Oryzias latipes: one gene and its partners. The protein of the gene in region 3 purifies or fractionates together with the protein of the main gene of each other region. This does not show direct contact. Links are inferred from orthologs where the notes say so. Each region holds a gene or a part of one and is shown on either strand. Other genes may lie near its edges.

The links.
Region 1: the proteins of ikbkg (region 3) and sqstm1 purify together in Homo sapiens (affinity purification with western blotting; 3 studies listed by BioGRID and IntAct, with this or other methods). This does not show direct contact. The link is inferred for Oryzias latipes from reciprocal best matches to the Homo sapiens genes IKBKG and SQSTM1.
Region 2: the proteins of ikbkg (region 3) and atm purify together in Homo sapiens (affinity purification with western blotting; 7 studies listed by BioGRID and IntAct, with this or other methods). This does not show direct contact. The link is inferred for Oryzias latipes from reciprocal best matches to the Homo sapiens genes IKBKG and ATM.

The regions. Positions count from the first base shown.
Region 1 is NC_019868.2:3,816,789-3,821,304, forward strand, and holds sqstm1 (sequestosome-1), read right to left. Parts: upstream 2,874-4,516; coding exon 2,705-2,873; intron 2,268-2,704; coding exon 2,172-2,267; intron 2,079-2,171; coding exon 1,810-2,078; intron 1,684-1,809; coding exon 1,539-1,683; intron 1,467-1,538; coding exon 1,398-1,466; intron 1,329-1,397; coding exon 1,192-1,328; intron 1,118-1,191; coding exon 853-1,117; intron 778-852; coding exon 617-777; 3' UTR 503-616; downstream 1-502. Other genes in the region: mrnip (MRN complex-interacting protein), read left to right, coding at 124-333. UniProt on the Homo sapiens protein: Molecular adapter required for selective macroautophagy (aggrephagy) by acting as a bridge between polyubiquitinated proteins and autophagosomes.
Region 2 is NC_019871.2:24,880,069-24,884,484, reverse strand, and holds part of atm (serine-protein kinase ATM), read right to left. Parts: coding exon 4,254-4,416; intron 4,151-4,253; coding exon 3,985-4,150; intron 3,913-3,984; coding exon 3,674-3,912; intron 3,496-3,673; coding exon 3,326-3,495; intron 2,692-3,325; coding exon 2,513-2,691; intron 2,417-2,512; coding exon 2,045-2,416; intron 1,932-2,044; coding exon 1,728-1,931; intron 1,612-1,727; coding exon 1,510-1,611; intron 1,348-1,509; coding exon 1,122-1,347; intron 1,052-1,121; coding exon 920-1,051; intron 136-919; coding exon 10-135; intron 1-9.
Region 3 is NC_019865.2:4,843,937-4,848,352, forward strand, and holds part of ikbkg (NF-kappa-B essential modulator), read right to left. Parts: intron 4,385-4,416; coding exon 4,323-4,384; intron 4,152-4,322; coding exon 4,104-4,151; intron 2,047-4,103; coding exon 1,944-2,046; intron 1,864-1,943; coding exon 1,748-1,863; intron 1,673-1,747; coding exon 1,520-1,672; intron 1,444-1,519; coding exon 1,371-1,443; intron 1,286-1,370; coding exon 1,151-1,285; intron 33-1,150; coding exon 1-32. UniProt on the Homo sapiens protein: Regulatory subunit of the IKK core complex which phosphorylates inhibitors of NF-kappa-B thus leading to the dissociation of the inhibitor/NF-kappa-B complex and ultimately the degradation of the inhibitor.

The DNA of each region.
Region 1 (4,516 bases), on a different chromosome or scaffold from region 3:
TTTCTTTCAATATGAGAGATCAGGCTGCTGTTTAGCACGTGGTCACTTTGAGTGAAACAGTTCTCTCTTCAGGTTCTGGTGTTTCTGTCATCCAACTTTCACTACTGTGTTCTTTATCTGCAGCTGATTGGTCCAGCAATGAGACGTTCTGCTGATGAAGCTCACTTCCATCCCCGCGCCTTTAGCTCAGCCTGCTCTCTCAAATCTGATTCCGAAATCCAAGAGGAGGAGCCTCCAGCTTGTGGGCGGAGTCAAGCCCCCAACATGCCCCACCCAGGACTCAGTGTTTCCTCCCTGTTCGAAACTGAGGAAGACTTCAGTATTGACTTCTAGCAGCTCCTATGTGTAGTCTGGTTCAAGTGTGCTGCTGGTGGAGGTGTTGCCGTGGAAACAGGTGATATAAAATTACATTTAGTGTTTCATTTGGACTGTTTTGGTTCTCAAAAGCAGCCTGCTGTGCACTTGGCAGTACAGGTGTGTATCAAGACTCCACCCACTCGGATTCCTTCATGTTTTTATTGTTCAGAAACAGATTAATAAAAGACAGAAACAGGTTAAGGAGTTGATTAACAGTTGAACAGATAGAAACTCAGGTTAAATAAAGCAGCTGGTGCGGTCACTGTGGTGGGCGGGGCTGCTTGGCGTACTGGATGGCGTCCAGAGCCGCTCCAATGTCAAAGTTTTTGGCCTGGAGGAGTCTGGTGAGCCAGCCCCCCTCATCAGTGAAGCCCATCGACAGCATCTGAGCCAGAGACTCCACCAAGTGGGGGTCCGCCTCTGTGGGGGGCAGAGGGAGGAGCTTACAAGAGGGCAACAGTCATAGCAAATGATACTTGTGAGAACTAGACTCACCTTGAGGCAGGTGGGGGTACAGCGCAGCCTCCCGCAGACCTGTTGGCCCCTGCTGCCCTCCCGACGGGGGCCCCTGCTTCCCTCCCGACGGGGGCCCCTGCTGCCCTACCGACGGCTGCTGCCCTCCCGACGGGGGCCCCTGCTGCCCTCCCGACGGCAGCTCGCACTCGTGGTTCTTGGGGTCTAAGGATTGCAGCTCCCCCGTGGACGGGTCCACCTCTTTGGAGCTCAGGTGAGTCCACTCCTCGTCAGAGTCCCGGCTTGCCTGCGTGTACGTGGGGACGAGGGTCAGTTGTTGACACGTTCATTTCAGTCATTGATCAGTGAACACAGACTGACCTTTGACCTCTCAGCAGTTGCAGACTCCCCTTCGTTTACATCCATTGCCACATTGTCATCCCCCCCTCCAGCCTGAGTGGGTGGATTCACCTTCGACCTCTGCCCGTCATGCTCAACATCAATGTCCACGTCGATTCCTGCATGGAAATCATGACATCACTTCCTGCCTGTCCCCCAAAAACAGCAACTCCACTATGTACACTCACCCAGGGGGCTCAACATGGCGGCAACCCCCTCCCCAATGTTCTTCAGGAAGTCCACACTAGCCTGGGAAGCTGCAGAGGTCAGAGGTTAAGGTGGGAGCATGTTAATGCCCTAGGCTCAAACGTTTTTTGAGTTTCTCTCACCTGATGGTTCTCCACCGTCACCCGAAGATGCTGATGGCCTTGGCTGGTCCTGCTGTTCCTGCTGCTCTGGGTTTTGGTTTTGATTCTGGTTCTGGTTCCACATGCAGTGTCTCATTCTCTTCATCCACTTTCCACGGGGAAACCACTGCAGACACAGTTTCTGGTTCAGTCAGTGCATTTTGGCTTTGACCAAAAAGTCCTTTCTTTTAAATCAGCACGATGTCCAGACAGAAGTGGAAAGACGATTAGATGGTTAGATGGAGTAACTCACCTGCAGGGGGTGCCAGATGGGCAGCAAAGCGTGCTCAGTGTGCTTCCCTTGAGCCTGGCAGGTGGAGCAAAGGTCGTAGTCGGGACAAACGGAGCACTTGAACCGCATTCCCACAACCGGCCCTTCACAGCCGTCACAGGTGACGTTAGGGTGCAGGGCGGGGGGAGGGCCGTGATGTGGAGCATGAGGGGGGCCATGGGGTGGTGGGTGTCCAAACATGAAAGGGGGTAGGGCATGCAGTGGGAAATCACGGCGGTGCTCCTTCTTCTCTGTCAGAGTTCAGGAAGAAAAAAAAAAAAAAAACCGTGAGGGAGGACTGCTGGGAGGTCACTCTGATCTCACACAGGAGGCCGTGCATTTACCTTTGATGTAGAGGCGGAAGGTGGAGTCCTTCACGCAGCCCAGGCCCATCATCAGCTCATCATCAGAAGAAAAGGCCACCAAATCTCCATCCTCATCTGAAATATAAACCGGAATCACACCTGAAGCTCCTCCCCTCTACGTCATAAGGTCCCACCTACTCCGCCTGTGTTTGTGTGTGGGTGTGGGGGGGGGGGGGGGGTCTAAACTTCGGGCCTCCTGATCAACTGAATATTTTCAATTGCGCACAAATCAAAGGACAGAAATTTGTGGGCGTGGCTACATGCGTCACGTGACAGCAATCCCTTTAAATTAGCTGTTTCTTAAATAAGTCAGTGGGCGGATTATGTTTGTACAGATTCAAATGTCTACAGTCCTTCTATATACTCGAATGTTTCTCTAAGTTGGTCTTCCGCGTTACTGCGGCTGTTTAATAAAGTATTGACAAAAAGTTCGGTTCCAGGTTAGTGAGTATGACGGTTCCGATCAGACCCAGCGGATCCCGGCTCTGTCTGACCCGGCCCATGCGGCTCACCTTTGTAGAAGAGGTTGAAGGAGGAGTTCATCAGGTTGGAGAAGACCGCCGCGGTTTTCTTGCTGAGATATTCGAAGTTGCAGGACACGTCCTGGTCCACCGCGAAGCGGCGGATCTCCTTCACATGCTCGTCCTTCCCCAGAAGGTAAGCCTTCACCGTCACAGACATGCTGCTGCTGCTGTGGACTCCGAACCACAAAGTTCTGACACCGGGAGCAGGACCGAGACACAGACGCAAAACCGTCACTTGAACAGTCCAAGAAAAATCCCAGTTTGTGACGCAGCGATAAATTTCAGCCTCTTTTATGTTTACTTCCGCAGGTGACGTGATTCTGTTAACAGTTGCGCAGCCGCGGATTGGTCCGTGTAAAAGGAACGCCGGTTCCAGAGGTCCAATCAGAGGCCGTCTTGTGTGTCACGTGATCAGGATCCCAGCAGACAGTTCACACACATCGCGGAGTCACCGTGAGAAGGCAGACTGCGGCCATGAAAACACGGAAACGATGAATCGCCTAGAGACGTCCTCCTGTGTTTATCAAACCTGTGGCCCATCGGAATGGATCCTTCTAGAATTAGTAGGAAAGTTCTAGACTGCTTCAGTACTTTTAGTGTTTCAGACTAAACAAGGGAAAAAATTTAATCTTTTCAATTTAAAACTATGGAAGTTCATTAAAGAGAAATTAGTAACTAACCATAAAATGTCAGTTATTTTAAATAAATAATTCATTTAACATTGGAATTTTTTTCCTTAAAACAGTTAAACTTCATTAGATTTTTTCTTTTGGAGAAAAAAAACGTTATATGTTTTTGAAATTTGTAATTCATTTTTTCTCAGCTGTTCAAGGAGGAGCCTACATTTTTATGTTATTCTTGTTAATGTTATAATGTAATATTTATTCTTTAAAATTATTATTGTTTTAGAGATTACTTCCAAGTCAAAAGGAAAAAAGTTTGTCACAAGAAAATAATAATAAATAATCAGGCCTTATAACATCGAAGACAAGTGAACAATCTAAACCTAAGATACAACTTTACTTAAATAAATAAACCAAAACTACAACGCCATTGTTTATTGAAATCATCAGGGTTTTTTGTTTAAAGCCAAAGAGACCTAATGGAAGGTTAAAATAGCTGCATGAAGACTAATATATTGTATTCTAGTAAATACTCATGATTAGTTAACTGTAAGCATTTTTCATGTCTACCATTATTTGTCCTGGATCACTGAGAGGGAGTTGATGTCTAAAATTCTTCAGTTATTTTTCCTATTCAGAGGGAAAAAAAGAAAAACAATTTTCAGAAGTGTAGTAAATGGATTACATCTGTAAACTACCAGTAATGATAAATTCATAGTCAATGTTTATGAGGAAATCTCCTGATATTCTGTCCACCTTTAGGTCTTCTCTTCAAATCTTAATGATTAATTCACCAACATGGGGAATTTGCATGCTTTGTTCAGTTGTGTGTACTGTTGTGTGTTTGTGTACTCTGCCTTCATGCACGCCTTTGTGGTGATGTCACCCACCGTCCTGAGCCAATCAGCTGACAATGACTCACAGTCACATGAAGTCAGTAAAACCAGTTCAATGACCACTGAGGAAAAAACCGTGAAGTCATGGAAGGTGGTTCCCTGAGAAACCACATCAACCCTGAAGACCTGAGAGAGGCTCACCTCTGCAGGACTGCAGCCTGGAACCTTAGTGACCTGGAACCCAAAACCTTCCGTTTATCTGAAGCTCCCACAGTTTCACAGATGAAGAGTGTGACGATCAAAGAGTCTGACTTTCACCTGTTTCTTATCTTAAGAAGAGT
Region 2 (4,416 bases), on a different chromosome or scaffold from region 3:
ATCTGTTACCACAGGTTTCCTGCTTGCGGACTGAGTGCACAGCTTCATAACCGATCTGAGACTAGACATGGCGCCTTCGTCCGACATTTTCACTTTTACACTGGAAACAAAGCCGCTGAGTTCCTGAGCCAAGGCCTGGTCAGGAGATCAGCAGTCTCTCAGTGCACAATCAGAAACAAATATCTCATTTGACAGGAAGATAGGGGGTCAAATCAGGACCAGCTTAAAGTGAACGACAAAACAGATTGTACTTTCAAAAACATACAGTGTATAGTTGAAGAAGAAAAAAATGTACAATTGTAAATTAAATGATATTTATATTTCAAACTTGTTTTAAAATTTAATAATAGGTCAATTTGAAACTTGAATTTGAAAAAAAAAATAAGTAAACCTAAATTGAAAAACAATGTTTGTTTGTAAAAGCTGCTGTTTTTCATTTTCCACTTTGGTTTTATCCACTATGATGCGGCGCACAGTAGGGATAAAATGCTCGCGAGGTTTGGTAGATCAGAGGAGGGATGACACAGCAGACGCTGTTTTGGTGGGGCAATGACGTCACCATGAGCTCTGTCCCGTGATGTCAATCATAGCTGAAAGCCCCACCCCTAAAGTAAAGTTAGGCTTAGCACCGAAAGCAAAAATTCTGAATTGAAACAGTAAACTAAAGAGACAGAGAGAAAAAGAAAAAAGAGATAATATAAAATAGCGGCTGTTAAAATAAAAATCATTTTTCATTTGGTAACAGCTTCAGGTTGATGGTATTTCTTTTAATCCAAGTTTCAAATGATCACGTTTACAATGCATACTTTTGAGTTTAAAAATTTTCTCATTTTTTTTAAACTTACATACTGTTTTTTTAATTCACTTTAAGATGATTTACCCCCATAGGAAGAAGGCAAGATGAGAGGAACCACTGCACCTTTGCTTTAGTGAAGAGCCGGGAGCAGCAGGCCTCGTCCTGAGTCACACATCCCGTAGAGACGTAGCCCGCCAGAACACCAATCAGCAGAGCACAACAGCGCACCAAGCACTCCGGAGGAACGGACGGAGACTGCCGGGTTCAAAATAGGAGTTTCTGACCAAACCAGCAGACACAATAAATAAATAAAGCCTCTACTCACATCAGGAGAATAACAGTTGAGCAGGCTGTCCGCCACAGAAAGCACAAGCTGCTCCAGCTTGTTTCGGAGGCCGAGGACGGCGGGAAACTGACAGTCGGCTGACGGCGCCGGCTCGTTGGCGCGTGCTGGGATCTCTGACGCATTAAAGCTAAAGTGCAGGTAGAGTGTCTCAATCTCCTCCAGGTTTTCTTTGGCCTCGGATGCTACTTGGTCTCGAGAAGAGCCGCTACAGACAAAAACAGCAGTTATTCACACTTCCAGAAGGTCACTGCAGGGTTGCAAAAGCAACTAAAGGTTTAGAAGACTTCAGCTTTCAGGAAACAGCTGTGTGGACACTAATGCATATAATTGGAAATTACAAAGACTTTGTTTTTTTGTTTTTTTTTACCTTGCAACTCCCTCTGTACCCAGTAGGAACTTCAAGCCAACTCTTGTGTCTTTCAGTGTCAGTGAGACCAAAATATTTGCTATCAGATTATGAGGAAAATCTCTGCAACAGAAAAAAAAATATTTAATTCAGAGAGAAGAAACCAAAATATAATTAAAAGCATATTTTCTACGGGATAAAAAAGAAAAAGATAGTGGTGACTACGCGACAGCAGGGACCTGCAGATGATTGGATGAGGCCTGCTGCTGTCCTCGGTCTCATCATTCTGGTTGCTCAGCAGCAGCCAAGCAATAAGATTTTCTTTCAAAAAAGGGGATGGAGATCCCTCTGTAGCTCCCAAAGAGTCCCAGATGGAGCTCGACGTGACACTTTTTGGGACAGGACACTTGAGGATTGTGTGGGTAAGACAAAGAGCAGAACTCCTGTACATAAAAAAAAAGAGAAAAAGGACTGATGATGCTTTAAAACATTTCAATTTTATCAACTTAAAATGTATTAAATCGTTGTTTTTTGCACATTAAAACAAATAACTCACTTGGATGGCTTGCATGCAGACCCAGAGAAGAGTTTCCAGAACTCTCGGTCGACATTCACCAGCCCGCCGTGCACAATGGAGGCCAGCAGATCCAGGCTGAGAGACTCTGTGTGGGGTGAGCCGACACCTCGCACACCGAGGGCCCAAATGCGAGCCCAGAGCCGGTCAAGCTCCGCCTTGTGGGCCTGGGCTTTGTGTGGGCAGCGGGCCTGGCAGAGTGCCACCTCCCTGAGGCAGCGCAGCACGTACAGGCTCCTCTCACCTCTGCGCTGCTCTGCTAGGAGCTGGTGCAACGCCGACAGCAGTGGAACCAGCTCCCGCCTGGGCACCGTAGACGAGTACTTACAGGTGAGCACTGAGGTAATCTGCAACCTAAAGACAGAGAATACATGCTTGAGAAACTTTTCGGGGCATTTTGTCCGGTTGTAGAGTTTTTTTTTAATTGTAACAGATTTGTGAAATGAATACCAAGGGATGATGTCAAAGTCATCGGATTGAGGCTGCAGACGTTCGAGGAGCACTTCCCAGCCCATTTCAATGCGCCGACGTTTACTGGCTGCACCGTGGGAGGGACTTCCCATCTGCGTGGCCCTGTGGGGGGCCTGCGTGACCTCCAACGTATGGCTCCCACTGTCATCAGTGAACAGCTACAGCAAACCAGCAGCAAAGGATTATTGAAACAAAAAAAAAAAGAGGATAGACAAAACTTGCTTAAAGACCCACTATGATAAAAATGTTGTTTGTGGTGTTTCTTACATGATGGAGGAGGTGTAGACAGAAAATTAAGCTTAAAGAGCATTTTCTGAGTATTTCTTTATTAAAATAGTTGTGGATCAGCAGCAGAAGAAAACACTCTGTTAGAAAGTGACGTGGAAAATACGCTGGGCGCCGTATCTGATGCATCCTTGTGTAGACAAATAGATCAATGTAAGTCTTTTTCCTCGTCTGAGCTTGAATCTGGATCAAAACTGTACGGCTGGATAATTTCAATATTGGTCGAAATTTTGTGTAGCAGTGCCAATGTTAGGCCTTGGGTGTGAGGGGCTGTAAGCTAGCGCATAAGCAGAGAGCTCTCAGTAACAGGGAAGGGGAGCAGGCTCCACGCCAACCGTCCCGCCCACAGCTCAGAGGTGAATTTCTAATGAACTACTCCTGCTCTGCAGAAACTATGTCCTAGAAAACAACACAGGCTTCTCTTTTAGGCTTGGGTCAAAACAACAATGCTTTTCCAACAGACTGGACTTCATGATTGATCTGGAAATAGGAGCAGCAACTGCTTACCTGGTGACAGATGTCAGCCGTGAGCTCGATCAGATTGTCTTTGACAGCTACGTGTCGGCTCCCTGTGGCGTACTTCCCTCTGCTGCCTATCTGGCTGATCTCTCTGACCAAGGAGTCGTACAGGCTGTACAGCAGACCACGCCACCTCGTCCAGTCTTCAGCGTGAGCACCTACAGCAACAAGAACCCAACAAACACTGGCTTTGTGCCCATTGCAGTTGGAGCCAACATACTTGATTAAATGTGTTTACGAAACATGTCTTACTATTTCTACATTCTCTTCTAATTCAAAACATCAGTTTTCCTTGTGGTTTTAATTTTGTGGAATAAATGGGAAACATTGCTCCACCTGTGTCGTGTGTTTTGGCTCCTTTAGGGTGGTGAACACACATCTGGAGGTTCAAAAAGTCCACAATCTCCTCTTTGAGTGGTGCACTTGGCCTCATATCTGCCCACACATACAGCACAGAGGGCAGCAGCTCCTCCCCCAGGCGACACGCTCTCATCCTGCAGTTGACGGCCGCCGACCTCAGGAAGACGTTCAGAGCTGAGACTAAATGCTCCAAGACCGGCAGGTGTTTCTCCTGCCTGCAGGTGTGTGAGGAAACTTTAGAAACTTTACCGCAGCACAGCTGAAGAACGTTGCATTTGACATTTCACCTGGCATTAAGCAGAGCTTTGGTGAAAAAGCCGAACAGAGCGTCGGTGAAGGCGTCGGTCTGCGTGCAGCAGCCCCGCACCAACGTGTGGATGACTCTGCTGAGCAACACACGGTTGATGGATCTGGAGGAAGAGTTAAAAAAGCCACAGTACAAATCCAACAGATCTATGAGAAAAAACAAAGAACAAGAAAATGATATGTAGAATTCTGGAGAATAGAGCTGACAAAGCAAAACTTTCCAGAAATGGAGTTAAAAATGCTTCCGCACTCTGCCACTGCTTCTGAGAGATGTCACACCAGTACTTGCGGACGGTGAGGATGTCCTTTAAAAGGATGCTGCTGTAATTTTCTCCGTACGCTGTGCAGCAGTGGGAGCTCTGCAGAACCTCTGTCACGTGTTTCAGCAGCTCACTGCAATTCAGACGAGGCCC
Region 3 (4,416 bases):
TCTGCGAGGAAATCTGCTTTGTAGATCTCAGCCTGGAGAAAAATAATGCAAAAAACAAAAAAGAAAACAAAGCTGAAGATGTGTGTGTGTCTTTATTCCTTTTAAATCATTCTGTGAAAAGAAATGTATTTCTTTTTTATTTCCACAACCATGTGCCTGTAAAATTGTCAGATTTAAAGATTAGTGCATTTTAATGAGACTGACTTGGCTTCTTTTGGTGACCTAGATTTCATAAATTCTCATGAATTTTCCTGTCACGACTTTTTGAAATTTCAGAGCTGAAATGTGGCAATTTAAAAGCGAAAAATGAGACATTTCTTGTCTTTTCTATTTTTGTTATTTTGTTTTTTCAGTACTTGGTTTATAGTTTCAATTCCGACTTTTTGTTTTTTCGCTGACCCTAATTTTACGTGGGAATAGGGCTTTGACCCCATTAACCACCAGGAAGTGAGGTGATGATTATAATTACTGTACGCCAAATCAGAGTTTCTAGATTTGAAATTAATATACATTTTGTTTTTATTTTACATTTTTTGCCAAATTAACACAATTTTTTTTCTGCGTTTGAAGATTTTTTTTAAAGATTTACACTGTGGTTTTTTATCTAGTTTAAATTGATCTTGATTAGGTCTCCTAGAGCAGCGCCCCCCCACCCCCACCCCCCAGCTGTGTAATGTTACAAGGATGCTGCTAATAAAAGTTGCTCAGTGAATTCTAGTTTACTATTCAATTTATATTTATTTAAATACCATTTTTGGTGGCCATTTCCTTTATTAATCTGCAGCATCTTTAAAGTCAGATGAGGCTGAAGTTGGCATCTGATTTTTTAGCTTCTACTTTGACTGTTATGGGTTAAGGGAAAATCTATTTCCCACTTTAATGGTTCCTACATCACATCTAGTGTACAAATAACGTTTAAAGCAGCTAGCCTCAGATATTTTTACAGAGGATCAAGATAAACTTTACCTCCAAAGTAAAGGGGAAACTGGATGCTTCAGCCCACTTCAGCCTATATTGTCTGACATTATACCGGTCCTGAAAAAGCTTGGGGACCACTGCCATAGAAGTCTTCAGACGTATGTCTGGGATTTTAGACGGAAGTAACAAAACACTTGCAGTTTAACTAGAAAAACAGTGATGAGAATTTCACCTGCGCAGTGAGGACAGGCACCGTCTCCAGAGAGCCTTTCAGCTGCTCCACTTCCTCCTTCAGTTTGTCAATCAGGTCCTGCTTCAGGGCCAGCGCCTGCTCTGCCTCATCCAGCCGGCTGGAAAGATCTCCTCCCTGGAGAAACCGGGAGGAGGACCATCAGGATGAAAGGAGCAAAGCAAACCAAGGTAAAAATATAGGTGACGGAGATTTTTCTTACTTCGTTCTTCAGCTTGGCGTCATAATCTCTGAACAGACATGTGTATGCGTGCTGCAGCTGTGTCAGTTTTTTCCTAACAGAACAGAAACACGTTCATGTCCTGCACAGATTAGACCTGGAATAAATCCTTAGCAGCGCTGTGCTTGCACCTCTCCTCTGTGACCACGTGTCTCTCGACCTTCAGCGCCTGCTCCAGGCTCTGCGACTGCAGCATCAGCTTGTCCACGGCCACGTGGTGCTGCTTCCTCTGCTGCTCCAGCTCCCGCTCCGCCGCCTGCAGCGCCTTCACCTTACTGCCTAGCCTGTGCACAGAAAAGCCCCCACCCATGAGAGGGCTACTACCCACGTGTTCATGTCCTTTTCAGTCAGACGCTTACTTCTCCTCCAGCATTTTGCGCTCGTGCTCGCTCTTCTCCAGGCAGCTCTGTCGTTCTTGTAGTTCCCCCAGCAGGGAAGTTGCCTGAGCTTTCAGGGCTTCACAGTCTTTGGCCAACTGCACAAACACAAGGAGAGGTGAGGTCGACAGTTCTCTGAAGTGGAGCGCTGCTGCCGGACAGCAGGTGTGCGTCATACCTGCACGCAGTCCTTCTCCTTCTGTTTGAGCAGCGCCTCAGTTCTGTCGCGCTGAGCCGAGCTCTTCTGCAGGTAATCCAGCTTCTCCTCCAGCTCACGATACCTGGATATCAAACTCATCAGCATTTCTTTTCTATATTTGACATGGTTCTAGATTCCAGAAAGATCAGACAGTTTTCAGAATTCATGATACACAGTAATAAGGTTGAAATTTAACAATTTCATATTTGTCTTTTGCCTTTTGGCGGCTTTCTTCAGAGGTCACCACAGTACTCATCTAAAAGTCAAGGGGGTCAAACTTCAGGCCTTGAAGAACAGCATCCTCCTGGTCTTTTCCAGAAATCCTGCCTTATCTGCTGCTGATAACCTGGATCAGGCGTGTTTAGCCAATAAAGAGCTTCTATGGCAGGTTAGTTGGAAAACATTTAGCACACCGGCCTTTAAGGCCCCTAATCTAAATCCTATTCATTTTTAAGTAAGAGATCCATCAAAAGTACAATAGTCCTAGTTGTTGCACTTTATTATCAAGATAATTAGGTTTTCCTTATAGTTTCAAGGACTAATCGAAAGTAAAAAAAAATATTTAAAAAACTGAAAAACAGCCCGAAAAGTTCTTAAGTATACAAGTACCTTGATGTTGAAAAACATCTTTATTTTTCTGGTCTGCTTCATTTTCCCTATTCAACTGCTTGAATCTCACTTTCTTCTCCATTTTTAAATGTCTGAACTGGTGTGACAGATCTCCCTCTGTGGTGTACATCCCCTTCTTGAGGAGATTCACATTAATCAGGTGAAAAATAAGTCACTTAAGGGTCTTAAAACTACAATCCCTCTAAATGGTACAATTGGAAACTGCAGCTGTCATCTGACAGCGAAGTTTAAACTAGAAAGGAAAAAGTATTGCCTTAGTGTTTCATTAGAATATGAAATCACTAATTCAGGGATGATTAAATTTGGCCCTCGGTTTTTTCGTTTTTGTTTAATCGTATTTCTTTTTTATATATATATATATTTTTTTTTTTGGCTGCTGAATACCGCTTCCTTAAATTAAAATATAAAAACCAAATTTGTTGAAATAACTTTAAAAGACCTGAAGAAAATTGTTGGGTTTTGCAGGGTTAAAACCCTCAAATTTAGGAACATCTTCATTTGATATTTACATTATTTTATGTATTCATACTTATTTGTTTCCATTTATTTATTTATTTCTAAATCTATTTAATTCCATATCAGTGCTTATACCTATTCTTTAAAGTTTATTTATTGATCTTTACTTTTATCTTTACTTTTATGTTTCATGTTTTGTTCCAGCGATGACGCCTCCTTAGTGAACGGGGATCTCCTGGGTCTGGCTCCTTGCTTTGATCGGGGGTGGCGGGGGGGTGGGGTGTCCTGTGCTTGTGTCCTCTATGAATATGACTGTTTTTATAGATCAATATCATCTCCGGGCTGCATCTCCGGTTCAAGTCCCCACTTCAATAACATGCCAGATTTGTACCTCCCATCTTAATTCATTTATCATTTTGTGTTTCATAACGTTGCCTGTTGGGGGCTCAGAGGGGCTGTATTGTACTTTTTTTGCTTTTGGCTTCTGAGTTAAATATTTTTCATAATAATAATATGTAAAGCCCTTTGTGTGACATATGTAGCCTCTGTAATAATTTCAGGAACATGAAAAAGATTTAGAGAAAAGCTGTGTCAGCTTGTGATGGTGATTCACATGAAAAAAAGATTCATAACAAAATATTTAAATTAGAGCTGTGACGGTGTGGGATTTTTGATCACTGCGGTGATGAACCAGCAGGGGGCGCGGTGTCGCCTGATACCCATGAAGAACACGGGGCAGGAGGCTCCGCCTTTGTTTATACAGAAACGTAACTTTGCGCAGCACAAAATAGTTCCCAAACAAAACATGTAGTGATTTTCATCGAAATCTAACAGTACGCGTTCTGTGTTACGGAGTGAAAGAGAACCGTAATAAACCGTAAAAAACTTTAAACAAAAAAAAAGTGCGGTGATGCGGTTATCGTCACTCCCCTAATTTAAATTCTATAAACATTTTCATTTACAAGCAAACAGAGGAAAGTAGGTTTGGTTGAGGGACAGTAGAGCAGCATGCAGATATGGAGACAGAGAAAGCCAAACAGGGCGCCGGCTCACCTGCCCTGCGTGGCCTGAAGCTGCTGTGTGAGCTTAGCCAGGCTAGAGCTGGAAAAGGGACAAGAAGATGAGAAAGGAGACGAGCACATCTCAAGTGGATCCAAAGAAGCATGTGAGTGTGTGTCAGAGCAGAAACAGAATCAGGTTTGTTGGCAGCAGAAAATCAGTTTAGTGCTGTTAGTGATCAAACGGGAAGAGACCAGATCCAGCAGCTCTTACCAGTCAGACGAGTGCTGAGCCTCCGAGCGGAGCTGAACCACCTCCTCGGTGCCAGAAGTGGCCTGAAAAACATTCACATGACTCTGTCAGGTAA